2 linked regions of the Drosophila melanogaster genome follow. The protein of the gene in region 1 purifies or fractionates together with the protein of each later gene. This does not show direct contact. Each region holds a gene or a part of one and is shown in the gene's direction. Other genes may lie near its edges.

Evidence for each region. The genes of interacting proteins can lie anywhere in the genome.
Region 2: the proteins of boca (region 1) and Fim purify together in Drosophila melanogaster (affinity purification with mass spectrometry, with the first as the bait; one large-scale study listed by BioGRID). This does not show direct contact.

Annotation. Positions count from the first base shown.
Region 1 is NT_033778.4:7,565,327-7,568,576, reverse strand, and holds boca (boca), read left to right. Parts: upstream 1-1,838; 5' UTR 1,839-1,914; coding exon 1,915-2,064; intron 2,065-2,226; coding exon 2,227-2,619; 3' UTR 2,620-2,704; downstream 2,705-3,250. Other genes in the region: Vps13 (vacuolar protein sorting 13), read right to left, coding at 1,213-1,312; Rpe (Ribulose-5-phosphate-3-epimerase), read left to right, coding at 3,093-3,250. UniProt on the Drosophila melanogaster protein: Chaperone specifically assisting the folding of beta-propeller/EGF modules within the family of low-density lipoprotein receptors (LDLRs). Acts as a modulator of the Wg pathway, since some LDLRs are coreceptors for the canonical Wnt pathway.
Region 2 is NC_004354.4:17,285,639-17,293,600, reverse strand, and holds Fim (fimbrin), read left to right. Parts: upstream 1-1,931; 5' UTR 1,932-2,272; coding exon 2,273-2,350; intron 2,351-4,563; coding exon 4,564-5,674; intron 5,675-6,066; coding exon 6,067-6,345; intron 6,346-6,410; coding exon 6,411-6,664; intron 6,665-6,724; coding exon 6,725-6,928; 3' UTR 6,929-7,897; downstream 7,898-7,962.

The DNA of each region.
Region 1 (3,250 bases):
TATACTATACATTGAATTACGCTTGTGTGTCAATAGTTTAACGACCAAGCGACCCCATTAAAGTTATCCAACATTTGAGGCCAGTCGAATCGCACTGATAGGAACATGTTTGGCCTTACTTTACAAACTTCATATCTGGCCAATAATCATAATTCTGCAAGTGGTGTTCAATTATCGACATTAAATACAAGAGTATTAATTATAAGTTACTCTGATAACAGTGTTGTAACAACTGATTAAATTAGATTGCTTCAATAAACAAGAAGAGTTATTCACCTGATTGCATTTTACAATATATGTACATATAACACGCTTGACTTGTAAATTGCAAAATGAAAACAAATATGAATCATTGGGCAAATAATATAATATAAATAATATACCCTGCATAGAAGCAATATATACACACATATTCCATTGACTTAACTAGGTCATTTTTGATTAGTTAAGCTAATCAGTTTTATTCAAAATATTTAGGTATTGTAGAGAAAATATCATTTTATAGCATATATTCATTCATTTCTAACGAAGCATAAGCCCGGTCTTTCTTACTTCAAGCATATTTGAATGAAATACTCTTATATAAGTTTAAAACAAAATGCTAATTAACATGAATTTATGAACGCAAGGCATTATGTCACCAAGTTCAAGATCAGCCGAATTAAAACAGGCTTGTCGCCGAACGTCACTCTTTGAACAAACCCGTTTACTGGGTTTGTCGCAAACTTGTCTTCGTGAAGTGGAATTTACAACCCACTTAACATGAAGTGAAGTGAGTACATTCAGATAAAAGACCGAAGAATTGTTTATGTTTCACACAGAAACCCTATACAAGTAGATTTGTAAATAAAAGATATAAAGGCAGAGACTAAATGAGCTCATGGAGAGCCAAGAGAAACCACAAGAATTGCTCTATCGCACAGCAAGATGCAACAGTTGTCCCACCCCTCGAAGTCTGAATGCTCCTCCGTCTTTTCTCTTTCTCAGAAGAATTCATTGGGTTCGCATGAACTTGCGAATACGGCTCACTTAGAAGCGACGAAATTAGGTCATTAATAGTATTTTGCCAAGGATAAGGTCACCGCCATCATTGTTTTTTCTGGGCACTTGCGTGCAAATAGACCAATAAACAATGGGTACCGCAGTAAGGCGATGTTTTTGCGTGAGGGTGGAGCAGAATGGTGTCATCCTCTCCGGGGAACTGGAACTCACCTCCCCAAATGCCAATCTTCAGCTGGTTCCGGTCCAAGTTCTCGATGTAGTCGCCGAGCACCTTGTTCAGCACATCGGCCACCACCGCCTCGAAGACCATTGTGTCCTAGCAGATGCTCCTATTGATTTTCCTCCAAGTTTGTGGTTGTTATTCCAATTGATGTGGTCGTGGTGAGTGCTTCAAACAATCTGGCGTTCGCTGTGCGGTCTATAGTTGATCTAAAATACATGCATATGTAAACACAGAAACCAAACAGATGGAACGGAGAGACGGATTAAAACACAATGTCGATGATGTCATCGTTGAACGCATTTCAAATATTTTGGCACAATCCGCCAGGCCCATTGTTCCAAAATAAACTAACAAGCCAAACGATTGTCCAGGGTCAGCTGGAGTAGGGCTGGTGCGATTAACTCACTACTCCACTCCAGAGCACGTGTGCAACGCCCGTTCTTATCTCTATTTACTGCACCCAATTACCAGCGGCATTTCCACGCGACAAAAAAGTAGTAACTCCGTGCGATGCGCGTTCTTTAAATGCTCGCCCGAAACTAACAGCTGTTGTGTTTTCCGTTTGCGTTCTCCACCTGGGGACGCTCAATCAGCTGTTCGGTCGCGTTCCCGGGCGAATGGCAAACTGTTAGGTGACGTGTTTGACCGTGCGAATTGCTGAGCTATAGGAAAAATATTTATAAAACACCATGCAAACACGTCTTGTTTTGCTGCTGCTAGCTCTGACCCCGCTCGTCCTGGCCAAGAAGTTCAAGGAGGAGGAGAAACCGGCGTGGGCCAAAAAGGATATACGCGACTACAGCGAGGCGGACCTCGAGCGTCTGCTAGATCAATGGGAGGTAGGTAACAACACTGCGATTGGAAAGCGACACATCGGACCCAACTCTCCAGATTCGCACCTAGCAAGGGAGTAATGCCAACCCTTTAGATTCCCACCTATCTAAGGATTCATCATTTGTAGAGACGGATAACTGATACCCCTTCTTTTAATCTTCTCTTAGGAAGATGAAGAGCCCCTCGAGGATGATGAGCTGCCCGAGCACCTGCGCCCCCAGCCCAAGCTGGACCTGAGCAATCTGGACAGCAAGAGCCCCGAGGACCTGCTCAAGGTGTCCAAAAAGGGGCGCACGCTGATGACCTTCGTTTCGGTGACCGGTAATCCAACCCGGGAGGAGAGCGACACCATCACCAAGCTCTGGCAGACAAGCCTCTGGAACAACCACATCCAGGCGGAGCGCTACATGGTTGACGATAACCGCGCCATCTTCCTCTTCAAGGACGGCACACAAGCCTGGGACGCCAAGGACTTCCTCATCGAGCAGGAACGCTGCAAGGGCGTAACCATCGAGAACAAGGAGTACCCAGGTGTCAATGCGAAAAAGGACGAACTGTAGGCCGGTTCCACGGCATACCAGCACATCAAAACATTCTCACTATTTAAGATCAAAGTTCAATTAAAATAAAACAAATTTATTAAACAAACTTATTAAAGAAGCTACATATGTATTTTGCTTGGCCATTCACAGGGAAACGGCTCCGTTTGCGGGATGGAATAAATATGGATAAAAATATGAATATTTCAATAAACATATTTTGAATATAATATTTGTATCTCTATTAGATTGTTTATATACACTGCGTATGTGTCAAATCAAAAACAAAATAAATGAAAAATTTAAGCAAAACTCTAAATTAATCGCTGACCAACTACACAACTCACGGTGCCATCGGCAAAGTTATCGTATCGCCTTTCAAATGTTTCGAGCTCCAGCTCCCCTCTGTGTGACCTTAAGTCAACAAGACGCCACCCGCGAACCGCGACGTGCTCTACTTGCTCCGCCTGTTGAGTAGCTGTTCCACCAAGAAGATGCCCGTCCAAGCCAAGATCGGTCCCAGCATTCTCAATGCGGATCTCTCCAACCTAGCGGCGGAGTCACAGAAACTACTGGACAATGGAGCGGACTACCTGCATCTGGACGTGATGGACGGCACTTTTGTGCCGAATCTCACCTTTGGTCACCCCAT
Region 2 (7,962 bases), on another chromosome or scaffold:
TTTTCAGGATCTCAAACCATAACTAAAATAATATAATCTTTATAGGAAAACTACATATAAGTATATAAAATAAAAACAAATTGCTGTTTAATGCCCTTTTTTTCGAGTGTACATAGGTGAAGGGTTGGCAAACATCGGTGACACCAAAAGTGAACCCGTAGAAAGTTGCTTGGGGTCAGGCGTGTGCGGTTCTGGTGTTTGATTTCTTACTGCCAGTAAATAAGATACTTGAAAGTGGCTTTTAACAAATTTAAATGTGTAAATGAACGCGTTCCAATCAATGAAATGGTAGGCGTACTACAGGTGCTAATTAAGTGCAATATATTTTGTGAATTGAAGTACAATAAACTCATCTTATGAGGTAAATATTTGTTAAATTATTGCAATTTGGAGTAATTATCGAGGGGAAACAGTAAACTGTTTAGAAAGGTTAACGACCGATAGATTTACATACATATATCAGATATATTGTAATATAAATATGTATATATGTACTTAGCACAACATTTTCGATTGCAACCAATCTGATAGCATTACCTATAGGACTAAGCCCAGCTGCTCTTGCTCAAACTTGTGGATAGTATTATGTAACAACAACTGTTTTATAACAAAAGATGCGTTTGCTCAGCTGGGCTTATTCTCTTTAATTCGAAATATCGGTCGATCGAGGAGCGGCGACACTTACAAGCAAACAACAAAAGCCTTTGTATGTCCAGCGATTAGTCATCGCGAGTAACTGATCGATAACACTACTGGCCACTGTGCATAACTACACTGGGGAAAGTGTGCTCTTAAACTATTCGATTTTTATTATCTGCAAAGCTTATTTTTTTTAAGATATTTTGGCAGTCTTGAGGACTTTTTCTGAACACAAGATCCTTTAAAGTTTTACGTTAACCCCCTGGTTTTTATGTTCGAAGGAAGTTCTAAACGTTTATTGTCGCATTTCCTTGTCTTATCGCGCTTCGAACTTTTATTATCTTGGCTGGAATTAGATTTATGTTGTACAAGTTATAACCTAACCGAAATGACAATTGCCACATAATTCCCTCGCTGATATAATGGCTATTAAAAAACCAATTACGTTTAAATACCGTGTCCCTCTCTCAGGTACTTTTTACACTCATTTTCCCATTATCTCTCTATAAGTTCACCCGCCAAGTAGTATTGCATTTAAACGAAAACTTTTCGATGCGTAAGCAATTTGTTGAAAGCGATTTCGGACTTTTGAGAGTGTTGCGAATAGGGCTGCCACGTCACGCTAGAGACCGAAAATTGACAAGTGAATCAACTGAAATATGAACTAAAACTAAATTTAACTATCCAGGCAACGATTCATACAGCTTGCATAATTTCTTATAAGCTGAATCACTTGATCTACGTCACGTTTGTACATTCATGGTGTACAGTTTAACGATTTATTCACATGTAAAAAATGATAAACAAATAAGAGATTACGAAATAAATATTTTAAATTATGCTGCGATATGTTGCTGTTTGTATGTTATAATCACCCCGCATTTTATGGCGACTTGGCAACCCTGCTGTATTGTTGCACCTGGGAGAGAGCAAAAGAGAATGGCTAATATCATTGAAAGAAATAAAGTAAGGAGGGAACTGGATCTTGTCCCTTCCAGGAGAAAATTAAAATATATACCTAACAATGTTTCTTTATAGATGATTTCTGCACATTTACTGAACCTTTTACTTTGCCGTTTTTGAAACTAAGTAACTTTTTATCATAGTTTTTTTTTAGCGATACAGGATGACGCGTTTTCTAAAGGTGTTCGTCTGCCTCTCTTTGCACGGCTTCTCCCCTCTTTTACTCTCTCATTTACTGATAAGGCTCCGTTCGATTGGAGTGCTGTTTTTTGCCTCTGTTTTTTTGTGATAAAAGAAAAGGCATAAATAGTCCGTTCCACTGAACCACTCAATTAGTACTCAACAATAGCCCGTGGAAAGCGAATCAGCCAAAAAAGAAAGAAGAACGAAGAACGAGGAAGAAAGCAAGGAGTAGTTACAAGAAATATTTAATTAAAGCTCGCATCCTTGGCTCTCTCGCGCCGACTTTCTTTCGCTCTCTCCCGATCAATTGGAGATCTCTTCCGCTCGCGCACCACCCACTCTCTTTCTGACGCGTTTGTGCGTGTGTTGTGTACTTACTGTGTGCAAATCAATTAATTTTTTGTTGTTTGTTTGTTTTCGCAACGAAAACCAGAAGGAATATCGTAAATAATAAAATTAATTCCGCGTGCAAACATACATTGGAATAATGGCCGATATTCTCAACGTGGAGCAGCACCAAACGGTTCAGGAGTTCAAGCAGAATCTCGAGGAGCTCATTCCCAACGTAGGTGGCGCCACGGTCTCGACTACAGTGGATAACCGCTAAAGCAAACAACTATACCATACAAAAATATGCAATTAGGAACGCATATAAGGAAGATATCGCATTAAAGCATCTTTGAAAAATTGAATACGGATGTTAATTTTTAAATTCCTCACATACTTAAAAAAAACTTCGTTTTTAAATTGAGAGTCTTGAGTTGAACAGCCTTTAAAACGCTAATTTTGAATTTTTTATGACCCACAATTCACGTAATCACTCCCTCTCGATTTTGGTGTGTCTGTGTTTTTTTTTCGCCCTCTTTATTTTTCTGCCCTATCAACTTTTCTCGGAGCACTTTATAGCTTTTTAATCGATAACACCGACAGGTGCCACGCATACCAATACCCAATGCCAATAAGAGGGGCCTTTACAGTGAACACCTCCGATAAAGTGCACGCGCTTCAAACTGACCCACTACAGACCTCCCCCCGAAATTATGGCGAAAATCAGAATCACTTCCGTTCGATGTCAGTCAAATGTTGGCCAAAAGAATATCCCAGCTATCAGTCCGCTTGATAGTCTCTCTTTTGGCCAAGGACAACACCCTCGTTGGCTTAACGGTTTTCCCCCCGCGAAAACCCGTGAACCACCTATCATATCATTACCATACACGTAATCGTGTGCTGCTTTCGATTTTTTATGTTCATTTTTTGGCGCACAGAAATTTATCTTATCGACAAACAGCAAAAGCGGAGCAATCAACGCACCACTACTAAACCGAGTTACCAACCAGTGAGCCATAAATTCCACAGTCCAGTATATCAGCCGATCCAACTGCCCCTTTTCCCCTCAGATTTGTCCTATTTCGCACACCGAATATGGCGAAAATGTCGAACGTTTTATTATACCGTCCGGCTGAATACTTGGGTTTTCACCAATTTCGATATTTCGAATTGGGGGGTACCCATGGAAATCGCAACAATTTGGAGCAAAACTAACTAACTTCAAGCTTATTAAACTGTGGCATAGTTGAGGACTAAGCTACAATATGATTTTATGTGGAATATTAAACATATCAGCTGGGAATATTTTCAAAACATATTCCAAAATTATTATATTTTATTAAGAAAAAGTACTTATAATACATTATTACACGTTAAAATGTTATGTTTCCAAATAATTTAACCTTAATATTATTGAGTTAGGTTAGTTCTCAGTAAGTTTAAAAAGATAGTATACACTGCAACATAGATCAGCCACCGTTTTCAATGCTATTATAGTTTTAAACAAACGGGTTCGCATTTGTTAATTTAATTTTTCATTTTGTAACAACTTAAACCATAAACATAAATATTTCCCTTCGATGCCAACAATAAAAGCTTATCTAATCTAAATTATTTCAAGCATTTTGACCAAAAATCGCGTTTAAACCATTAAATATGACTAATAAATCTAAGTAAAGTGGTGAAACCCATATAATAATATATCGAATTGACTGGACTGTTTAATTATATAGCTCTTATATGTAAATCTGTTAAAGGAATCCCAGCTAGATTAAAATTAGTATTTAAAGTGGCCACCTCTTAGTCATTAAACTTTGCAAGAAATAATCAAGTCGGGTCCGAATCTCAAGTGTTTACAAACTGATTCATTCGTTCAGGCTTTCACTTCTTTAGTTCTTTTTTTTTTTTTTTTTTGTATATTTTCTCTTATTTTCTGTGGCGCCCACTCACGCTTTTGAACTGTATAAATTGAAGCGAACAATTTTCGATAATCAGCGATATGTCAGTCAGGTGGGAGATAAGACCCCTCGAACTGAAAACTGAAAAATGGAAATTAAATTCGATAAGGCTGGCACACAGACAATATAGCGATAAGGTTGCGGGAGATGGAATATAGCATTTTGCATTCCGAATTCCGCAGATAAAACAGGCACTGGAATGCGGCTGTGTGTTTGGCTTTCGGATTTGATTGATGACTCACAGATCGATCGTGGCAATAGGCGGCGGACAACTTACTCATGACCGGGGATTACTCATGGATCTTTCCTGTATTCAATTTGTATTGGTGTGCCCCTTAAGTCATTTTGAGTTCCGAGAAGGCCAGAAATTAAGTTTATGCCTCAGGAAAGGTCAATAATGTTTATGCCAATGTTAATGAAAACTGTCTAGATCTAATAGTTTTTGCAAATTGTTTTAAACCAATACTAATTAAAATCCCTCTCCTTCTTGTAGTTGGATGCCAACAAAGATGGCTTCATCGATCTGCACGAGCTAAAGGATGCCCTCAACCAGGTGGGCTTCAAGCTGGCCGGCTACCAGGTGCGCGAAATGATTGACGAGTACAAGGGCAAACAGCTGACTGCCTTCCAGGGCAAATTGAATCTGGAGGAGTTCGAGGCACTGTGCCTGGACCTGAAGAGCAAGGATGTGGCCAGCACATTCAAGACGGTCGTCTCCAAGAAGGAGAACTTGGAGACCCTGGGCGGCATGTCGAGCATTTCGTCGGAGGGCACCACCCATTCGGTGCGCCTCGAGGAGCAGCTGGCCTTCTCCGACTGGATTAACTCGAATCTGGGCCACGACAAGGATCTGCAACATCTGCTGCCCATCGATAGCGAGGGCAAGCGCTTGTATCTGAGCATCAAGGATGGTATTCTGCTGTGCAAAATTATCAACCACTCCTGCCCGGACACAATCGATGAGCGTGCGATCAACAAGAAGAACCTCACCGTCTACCGGGAGTTTGAGAACTTGACCCTGGCCTTGGTTTCCTCCCAGGCGATTGGATGCAACATCGTAAACATCGATGCCCACGATCTGGCCAAGGGCAAGCCACATCTGGTGCTGGGTCTTCTCTGGCAGATCATCCGCATCGGTCTGTTTAGCCACATCACCCTGGACAGCTGTCCGGGATTGGCTGGCCTACTCTTCGACAACGAACGTCTCGAGGATCTGATGAAGATGTCGCCGGAGGCCATCCTTTTGCGTTGGGTCAACCATCATTTGGAGCGAGCCGGCATCTCGAGGCGGTGCACCAACTTCCAGTCGGACATCGTCGATTCTGAGATCTATTCGCATTTGCTGAAGCAAATTGCCGGCAATGATGCTGATGTCAATCTGGATGCCCTGCGGGAATCCGATCTGCAGTCGCGCGCGGAGATCATGTTGCAGCAGGCCGCCAAGCTCAACTGCCGCAGCTTCCTCACGCCACAGGATGTCGTCAACGGAGTCTACAAACTCAATCTAGCCTTCGTGGCTAATCTGTTCAACAACCATCCAGGATTGGACAAGCCCGAGCAGATCGAGGGACTCGAGTCCATTGAGGAGACGCGCGAAGAGAAGAGTAAGTACTTAATATTTAGCCATACGTAAGATCGGTACAAAATACCGTTTTTATTTAATTGAAAATTAAACACAAGAAATCAAAGTTGATCAGGAAAAATCCAGGGTTTCTTATAAAAAAAATGTAGATATCAACTGCCACTTATATAGCATAATTAAAGCAATTATAAATATATATGTTTATCAATCGGCTTTGCACAAGAAGTGCAAGCCATAAAAACCGGGAATTTTTAGCTCGCAAGACCATTTATCACAAGAAGAATATAAGAATATAATACAATAATATATGTGTACTTATAAGAATACGATTACTTAGAATTATAATACTCAGGTGTTATATACATATTTGGAAAATATTTAACTTACACCAATCATTTCTATTTTTCTATCTAGCCTACCGCAATTGGATGAACTCAATGGGCGTGGCACCGCACGTGAACTGGCTTTACTCCGATTTGGCCGATGGTCTGGTCATTTTCCAGCTGTTCGACGTCATCAAGCCGGGTATTGTCAACTGGAGCCGTGTGCACAAGCGTTTCAGCCCGCTGCGCAAGTTCATGGAAAAGCTGGAGAACTGCAACTATGCGGTGGATCTGGGCAAGCAGCTCAAATTCTCGCTGGTCGGAATCGCAGGCCAGGATCTAAACGATGGCAATGCCACGCTGACGTTGGGTAAGCATTGCTATTCTAATTGTATTTTTGGATGTTACCAATTCTGAACTATCTTATGGTTACAGCTCTCATCTGGCAGCTTATGCGTGCCTACACCCTGTCCATTCTGTCCCGCTTGGCCAACACTGGCAACCCCATTATCGAGAAGGAGATCGTCCAGTGGGTGAATAACCGACTGTCGGAGGCAGGCAAACAGTCGCAGCTGCGTAACTTCAACGATCCGGCCATCGCCGATGGCAAGATCGTGATCGATCTGATCGATGCCATCAAGGAGGGCAGCATTAACTACGAGTTGGTGCGCACTAGCGGAACACAGGAGGTGAGTCCTGACTATGTCATGATATGTGGCAGACTAAACTAGCGCTTATTGATTCCGCAGGATAACCTGGCCAATGCCAAGTATGCCATCTCCATGGCCCGCAAGATCGGCGCCCGTGTCTACGCCCTGCCCGAGGACATCACCGAGGTGAAGCCGAAAATGGTGATGACCGTTTTCGCCTGCATGATGGCCCTCGACTACGTGCCCAACATGGACAGTGTGGACCAGAACAACCACAACAGCTCCGCCAACAACAGCAATTAGGCGCCATAGCCACAACTCATTTATACATAAACAAAAGGATGGGATTTTGAAAGGGAAGAACAGAGTGGGAACTACGTAAATTTGTCGTATTCGCTAATTACTAATAACTCTATTCGATTGCGTTCCTTCCTGCGCTACCAATACATTTTTGTGTTTTTTTTTTATTTCAATTACTTTTTGTAATTTTTTTATTATATATTTATATATTATATAATTGAGTATGAGTTTCCCCCTATTGTAATTAAGCAAACAGATTTTAGAGTGTCGCACATCTGTTTTCGAGCCCGGCGGGGTGTTTCTTAATTAGTTTTGTTTAACAATTGATTAATTATACAACTGTAACCTTATTTTATAAATAAAGGTTTAGCTTGTTCCGCTTAAAATCCTTAAAAGAAAAGAATGGTGAAACAAAAGAAAGAAAAAAAAAGCGACTTGTGCAGGATTAAGAAAGAATTATAATATTAACATTGCGACGAAAACAATTAACTCTGTAATATATATACATATATATTTATATACGATTACGATATGCGTCTATATACATAACATATAAATTTACATAAATCGATATATTTTTCCATAAACGCGTTGCCTAAAGAAAGATAACGAACGAAGATCAGGAATGGGGAATATTCAGAAACAAAAGAAGTCGAGAAAAACAGAGAAACTAATTTTATATTTACTATAAATTTTTTTGCGAGTAATTGTAAGACGCCTTTGTTTATGTGTTTTTTTTTCAACGTGCGTGTTTGTTCAATTTCTTTTTACATATTTGTATAATTTTGCGTTTAAGTGCGTTAGAGCGAGGTGGCAATAGGTATCGCCAACACGGCGTAGAAAGAGAGGGCAACAAACATTTTTAGTGCAATGAGGCGACATACAAATCCAAGAGAAAAAACGAATTAAGAAGAAGATGAAGTAATATTATATGCAGAATAAAAGTAAAACAATAAAGAAAATAAAAATACCAATATAAAAGCCGTTTCACTTAATAAGTCATAATTCTGTGAAGTTATCAACATAAAGTCTTGGGA